2 linked regions of the Caenorhabditis elegans genome follow. The protein of the gene in region 1 purifies or fractionates together with the protein of each later gene. This does not show direct contact. Each region holds a gene or a part of one and is shown in the gene's direction. Other genes may lie near its edges.

Evidence for each region. The genes of interacting proteins can lie anywhere in the genome.
Region 2: the proteins of cki-1 (region 1) and lrr-1 purify together in Caenorhabditis elegans (affinity purification with western blotting; 2 studies listed by BioGRID). This does not show direct contact.

What each region holds. Positions count from the first base shown.
Region 1 is NC_003280.10:7,809,625-7,812,630, forward strand, and holds cki-1 (Cyclin-dependent kinase inhibitor 1), read left to right. Parts: upstream 1-1,615; 5' UTR 1,616-1,634; coding exon 1,635-1,843; intron 1,844-1,900; coding exon 1,901-2,246; 3' UTR 2,247-2,481; downstream 2,482-3,006. UniProt on the Caenorhabditis elegans protein: Negative cell-cycle regulator that functions at the G1-to-S-phase transition. Required for suspension of the cell cycle in dauer larvae and starved L1 larvae.
Region 2 is NC_003280.10:5,033,642-5,038,164, reverse strand, and holds lrr-1 (PIF1/LRR1 pleckstrin homology domain-containing protein), read left to right. Parts: upstream 1-1,725; 5' UTR 1,726-1,738; coding exon 1,739-1,849; intron 1,850-1,902; coding exon 1,903-2,064; intron 2,065-2,114; coding exon 2,115-2,198; intron 2,199-2,250; coding exon 2,251-2,607; intron 2,608-2,656; coding exon 2,657-2,868; intron 2,869-3,276; coding exon 3,277-3,402; intron 3,403-3,454; coding exon 3,455-3,670; intron 3,671-3,776; coding exon 3,777-3,870; 3' UTR 3,871-4,023; downstream 4,024-4,523. Other genes in the region: golg-2 (Golgin subfamily A conserved domain-containing protein), read left to right, coding at 1-822, 867-1,184, 1,233-1,301; F33G12.3 (DUF1308 domain-containing protein), read left to right, coding at 4,137-4,298, 4,341-4,511.

The sequences.
Region 1 (3,006 bases):
ATGGTTTCATAATTACGTGCTACATAATTTGTTATGCTGGTCGAGGCTCAACGTTTCGAACATCTGGCTCTTTTCCTTCAGCTAACCACACCACTCTTCGTTACAATCCCTTCTGCGCACACATATCCTATCTACCAGCCGGACAGATGCTCGTTTCTCGGTGCAAAACGTTGAGAGTTGAGATCGAGCAGCCGGTTGGTAGTTCTTAATGACAAATTGCCAAGACTTTTTCTGAATTATTTTAGGATTTAAAACTTTTCTAAAGTATTACGATAGTTCATAATTTCTTTCTTTTTTAAAAATTGGCTCTTTTTTGTAATGTATGGTATCTAACTAAAACTAGGCCTCATTTCCATAACTATTCTTTAAATTGAGTTGAGCTCAAAGAGCTTAGACAGAACTGGTGTGAATCATAGAACCCACCTGTGTTTTTACTTTCTTTGAAAAATGTCGGTCACTTAGTCGTCTCTCTGTCTGTTCCTTTTCCTAATCACAAGTAACAACACACAGTCTTCTTTCACATATATTATTTGTTGACCAATCGTAGGGTCAACTATCTAGTACTCGAGACCGCCTATTTGAACAGAGCTCCTCACTGTCACCAAATGTACCGTATTGCTTTCCGGCTGTTATTGTTGTTATCACTGCTTCTTCTTCCTATCATGTTACCCATCCAACTATACACCTTAGACTAGTCATCTTATTGATATACATTCCTCCCATCCAACACAACGGTATTCTATTTATTTATCCAATTAGTCATAGTCGTACCACCATCCAGCACGAAGGTGCCTCTTTAGTAAAGAGTAGAAAGAAGAACCGGATGGGAAATGTTTTTGTTACAAAAATGACACATATTGTAGTGGACAGAAGGAGTGAGACAGACATGAGCAAGCCAATTTGTTTATAATTTCTCTTCTAGAAAAAAATACATTTTTCCATACTTCACTAGTCAAAACCTTTCACCTTTCTAATACATCTCGTAAACCATAATCTTGATAGTTCTGAGCATTTCAATACGAAAGCTTCTCACTGTCTAGATCTCTGACTGAGTGCCCTCATCAAAAGTGCAATCTGTCATCTGTTTCCTCATAATCACGGAGCACTAATTTTTCTCTCTGCGTCTCTATAATCAGATATCTCTCGTCACTAAGAACTTTCCGAAATGTTTATGCTTCTCATCTGACCACTTCGGTTCCGCACAAAAAAGTACGGCATTCCAAAAGAAATCTGATCCCCCTCCGTTCATTCGTGGTCCGAGTCGGTGCCACCAGTCGTTGCGCATTGAATATTTGTTTGGTCCGTTCCCCTTCTTCTCCGACTGCTGACCTCGGGCACTTTGATGACCGGGCCACCACCTCAGTACCCCTCTATTACACCCTCTTTGCCTCCGCGCATATGACTCCACCCCTTCTCGTGGAAGGCGTGTATCTCCCCTCTTTTCCGCTATTCCCTCGATGGATATATATTCAAATGTATGTGTGTTCCTGACGGGAGGGCGTCTCGCTTGAGAGCATCGTCACATCTTTTACAATTTTACTTATGATTTTACTTCATCTTCTTCTTCTTACTGCGATTTTGATATGCATTCTTATGTAAACTATTATTATTCCAGGTTTCCTCACTCTTTTCAAATGTCTTCTGCTCGTCGTTGCCTTTTCGGTCGTCCGACGCCCGAGCAACGCTCCAGGACTCGAATTTGGCTTGAAGATGCTGTTAAGCGCATGCGCCAGGAAGAAAGCCAGAAATGGGGATTCGACTTTGAACTGGAGACTCCCCTCCCAAGCTCTGCTGGATTCGTTTATGAAGTTATTCCAGAGAATTGTGTTCCGGAGTTCTACAGGTAATTGAATTTTATAAATTTTTCATAGTTATTTTACTAAACAGTTTCATTTTTCAGAACCAAAGTTCTCACTGTCAGAACCACATGCTCATCGCTGGACATCAGCTCAACGACTTTGACTCCATTGAGCTCTCCGAGCACATCTGATAAGGAGGAGCCCTCGCTGATGGATCCCAACAGCTCGTTCGAAGATGAAGAGGAACCGAAGAAGTGGCAATTCAGAGAGCCACCAACTCCACGGAAGACCCCAACAAAGCGTCAGCAGAAGATGACCGACTTCATGGCAGTTTCCCGTAAGAAGAATTCGTTGTCTCCAAACAAGCTGTCTCCGGTGAATGTGATCTTCACTCCAAAATCTCGTCGTCCAACGATCAGAACTCGATCTTCATGCTCTCCATACTAGAGGTTTCATTTTGACTTTTTTTTGCCCAATTCCACGGGTTGAATCTAATCATTTGATTATCTCCTCGACAGTTTCTGAGTCTCTCTTAATTGTTCAACTAGTCATGTTTCCACAAATGTTTTATTGTTTGTTCCAAAAGCCCTGTGATCCATGTTTAGGAACTCTGTAACTCTTTTTTCCCATTGCCATTTGTTTTAAACAACTCAAAGAAAAATAAACCCTTTGAAATTATTTTAAGAACTGTATTCTGGTGTTTTCTTCAACTTATAAAAAAAAAGACGAATAGAAACTGGCACACGGTGCAGTTCCATTGGTAACTTCAGCAAAGAATATACTGAAATCACGAAAAGTGGTACAATTCCGCGCATAATTTTGAAACTTCTAACATTCTTCATTAACTTCAAACTTCAAACATTCTGTAAATGTTGTAAGATCAAATAAATCTTTCCCGGTTCACCCACTGCCACCCAAATAGACATTGCGTGAAGATTGCGTGAATTTTAGGTAGCTACCAGCCGGATTAGGCTTCTCTAATTCAAATTGAGTAATATGGAACGTTTATGAGTATATGCTAATAATAAATAAGCATGTTTGATTACTAATTACATAACACCAAGTCATCATATCAATGGACCTTCTCTAGTCCCATAAATCATTTTTATTGCATAACTTTTTCTGAGAGTACATTATCAACATCGTCCTCCTCCCTTTTCTTATATTTTATGTGCTATTCAACCCAGAAAGACAGTTCCCCACGAGA
Region 2 (4,523 bases), 2.8 Mb from region 1:
GGTAATCTGTCAGAAGTAATCGCTCGACAACCTCATCTCGAAGCATCACAAGAATCTGCTGCAAGTCAAGAACAACGTGAAGAATCTCAAGAAATCGTGAAACTCAATGAAGAATTGAAAGAAAATATCTCAACGCTTCAAAGAGAAAATGCAGAAATCAGATCCGATTTAGAGCTGAAAACTCATGAACTTCAACTGGTCCGTGCTGATTTGAGACGAAGTAACACTCATAATGAACAAATGGACGAAATAATGAGGCAAAATGCAGAAGATGAGAATCAGAATTCGATTCACGTTGAGCTCACTCAAGCAGTTGGCAGAGTTCAGGATCTTCATGCCGAAAATGAAGCACTCAGAGAAGCTTTTAATAATTGCCGTCAACAATTGGAAGATGAACGAGCTGATAGAAGAGCAGAGGAAGAACGGAAAGATCTCGAAAGCAAACAGGAACAGCTGGAGTTGAAAGAAACCAAGGTTCCAGAAGAAGCTGAAAATCAGCAGTCTTCTAGAGAGCTTCATGAAGATCTATGGGCACGAAAAGAATTAGAGAAACGATTCGCTCGAGCAATGCTTCAGAATGCTGAACTCGTTGAGACAATTGATCGATTAGAGCACATCAACCAGCAGCTAGAACTCGAAAATGACACAATTGCTGATCACGTTGTTCTCTATCAGCATCAGAGAAAATTGGTTCGTGAAAGGCTTCGTGTAAAAGATGAACAATTGAAGGCTATGGAAGAGGACAGAACGAAAACTGTTGCACGATGCCAAGAACTGCAAAATGTGTTAATGACTGTACTTAACAAAGGTGGAGTATTAAAGGTAATTAATCTATGAAACTGTAATACCTACAAGCTAATTTTTAGGAATACCAGACAAGCTCAATCTCCCGAAAAGCAGCTCGCCGAGTTTCCCGAAGCTATAGCCATTCGACAGTTGATGAAATGAGCGGAGACGAAGATGTTTTGGTGGACGCCAAATTGGAAGAAGTTCCAGAGCGTGAAAAAGTACATGGTAATAGTGATGATGAGAAGATTCCAAGTACTCCACCACCAACTGTGTTGGAAGCTCAAAATAGTCCACGATTATCGGATTGTTCTGCTGACAAAGATAATAGTGATACTTTCGGGCAAACCCAAGATGCATCTGTTAGACGAATTTTGGAAATTATTTCTGATATCAGTGTAAGTAGAATATTCTTTGATTCATCGTTCCCAAATATATCTTTACAGAGACCCCAAATTCTACCCGCTGGACAACTCCACTGTACACAATGCATTGGAGATCTTCAAGAACTCTGAATAAAAATGTGCATAATGACTTTACTGTAAACTTTCTTTTAGCTTATAATGTGGGTACAACTTTTAGCTAATTATTATTCTTTATTGTTTCCAGTCCCCGTTTTTTTTGTAAATTTCGACTCTCCCGCTGACTTATTTAAATTATCGTTTTCATCCCCCAATCACTTCCTGTGTTCATTTGTGATATTTATAAGTGACAATTTTCTATTAATTTTATTGAAGTCCGATTAGTTGGTAAGCAAATGGTAATTATTATTTATTTTTTCGTTAATTATTCTTCTTGGGAATAAATGTAAAAACTTTAAAATGTAACTCTCCCCAGTGCTCTTTTATCGGGTTCAACTTGATTTTCCAGAAACTTATTTTGATTTTCAGAGACTTGCTTTTCAAATACAAAGAAACTACCAATAGTTGCTTATTCCAGATTTCAATAAAAAATGCGATTACCATGTGAAGTGGTTTTTGCACGTTATAAAGCAAATGCCGGAGTTAATCCAAAACCCACGAAATCGCAAAAAGGATTTGTTATTCTGCAAAAACTTCGACAGGTAATTTAAATTTTCATAAGTTAATATGTAACAAAACAAAAAAATATTTCCAGACCCCTCCACAATATCAGATAACAGTGGCCGTGGCCGGTGACAAAACTGGAAATAAATTCGAGCTCAACAAGCCGCCAATTATTCTCGACAAATTTATTGCTCAAGGAAAAACCACTATCACATTTCAAACAACTCCTGCTGTGATGGTTTGCATCAGTAAAGTACGTGTAAAGCATTTTTCAATATAAAAATAATAATTTTTATTGTTCAGGCGAATCCAGAAGCGTTGGCACAACTGATAGAAGCCATCAGAAAAATTGTCAAAGGAGAAAATGTGGATATTGAGAAAGTGAAGGTATTAAGCTTGACGGTGGAATTGAAAGAATTAAAATAAAATACTATTTCAGGTAAAAAGTTCCGACTTCAAACCAACTACCATCACGGTCAACAATCAGGCAACGTACAAAAAGCAAATGCAATCATGCTCCGAATTCCTGAAAACACTAAAAATTGAGCCTATCGATTTACGGAGACCTGATAAAGCCTGGAGATTCTGCCATAATCTCACCAGATTAACACTCAATGGAAATCCAATTGGAGCTCATAATAGAGATCTTGACGTGTTTAGCAAGCTGAAGCAATTACAGTCACTCGAGATGAGAAGCTGTTCCCTGGAGTTGATTCCTGTTCCAGCAATGTGTACGATGTTCCGAGAACTACCGACTTCTATCTCATTACTGGATTTTGGAGATAATCATCTTTCAGTACGGCTCCGAAAATAATTATTTTATAATCTTCAAATTTATATTTCAGATTTTCCCTCCAATCTTCCATCTGAAACAGCTCAAGATTATTAATGCTGCTCATAACGCAATAAAATATCTTCCATCACGTATTGGAGTTCTACAGAATCTAAATACAATAGATGTTAGCAACAATCTTATGACAGCTTTACCTTATGTATTCTCAAAAATTCCAAGTATCGAACATGTGGGAATTAATGCCAATGATCAAATGGTTAGATTGTGAGTTTTTTAATTTTTGTTGGAAATATTTAATTTTTAATGTTCAAGCTGCAAAATCGGACTTATGATTTTCCAAGTAAGAACAATTAAATTTTTCAATTAAAATTGTTTACCAAAAAACTGCAAAATATATTTTAAACACACTATTTTGCATATAAAGTCCCGAAAAAGTTTCGGCAATCGGCAAGTTTGACAATTAGCTAATTAGCCAAAATAAAAATTTCCGAAAAAATTTGTAACAATTAAAAAAAACAACTATATTTTTAGTAAATTGCAAAAAAAATTCATGTTTTAACGAAAAGAATAAAAAAATTTTAAATAGGTGAAATTCCAACAGAATAAAAACTAAAAAAAAATAATTAAAATCGACAAGTCGATGCAGCCTATTGCAACCGATTTTTATTTTAGAGAAGAAGAAATTGGACCAATTTTCATACGTCGCCTGCTTACAAAAGTTGATAATATCGAATACACACACGAGGGAGGTGTCGACAAATTGGGCACAATTGCTGCGAATGCTATTCATCGAGAAGAGTACGAGAAATTAAAACTTTAAGAAAAAAATCTTAAATTGAATTCATTTCAGATGCTCAAAATCGATGAAATTTGGACGTCAATTCCTTCCACTCTCACTTCGTTTCGATATGGATGATCTGATGTTTGAAAAACCAGGAATATCATCTCTCGAATTGTGTACAGGATGTGTCAGACTTCGGCATATTCGATATATTCGACCACTTATTATACAATCCAGACAAATTGCTAATTCTGTCGACGTGATCGGAAGATTTGTCACATTTGAGTTAGTTTTTTTTTTCAAAAAATTAAATTTAAAAAAGTTGACAAGTGGTTTTAATCATTTGTCCAAATAAATTTTTCAAAAATGTAATAAGTTTAATTAATTGCAGCCGTCTTCTCTGTATCGACTGTTACCGGAGAACAACTTCAACAAACAATGGAGAACCGCCGTTCCAATGTGATTACTTCCAATTTGCAGTCTAATTTTTCATTATTATCTCACCTTACTCATTTTTAAATATGTAAAAATTAACCCGATCTCAGAATGGGTAAAAAATTGTCCGATGCCTTAAATTTCGAATCTCTCACTTTTGAATCTTGAATCTCACCTTAAGAATAAAAGTTTCCAAGCCTTTTTCTGCTTTTAATTGTTCAATTTAATATTCTAATACTGTTATGTTCGCGAATTTCATATATCTTTTATTCACAAAGTTTTTTTTTCTCAATTTCTGAATTAATTCAGACAAAAAATGCATGGAGTCGACGAAGATGATTTGGAGAGGCAGCGAATCGAAAAAATCAAAGAAGTTCAAGAAGCAGTCGCCAAGTTGACGGGCGCCAAATTCCAAAAATTGGAGAATTTGCAACGAATGGAACGAATGCTTAACAAGGAAATTGAACTACTTCAAAATGTATTTTATAGATTTTATGATTTTTAAATTAAGAATTTTCAGGCTACACGAAAAGCTCTAGAAACTCATTTGGTCACATGTAACTACGCATTCTACAAATCAATAATCGATGAAGTTGAGGAAATGGAAAATGCGACGGCCGTACTGAAAACGTTCAAACGGGATAATGTATCGGTTACTGTAGATATTGTGATGAAAGAACCGAATGTTTGGGTTAGTATTATA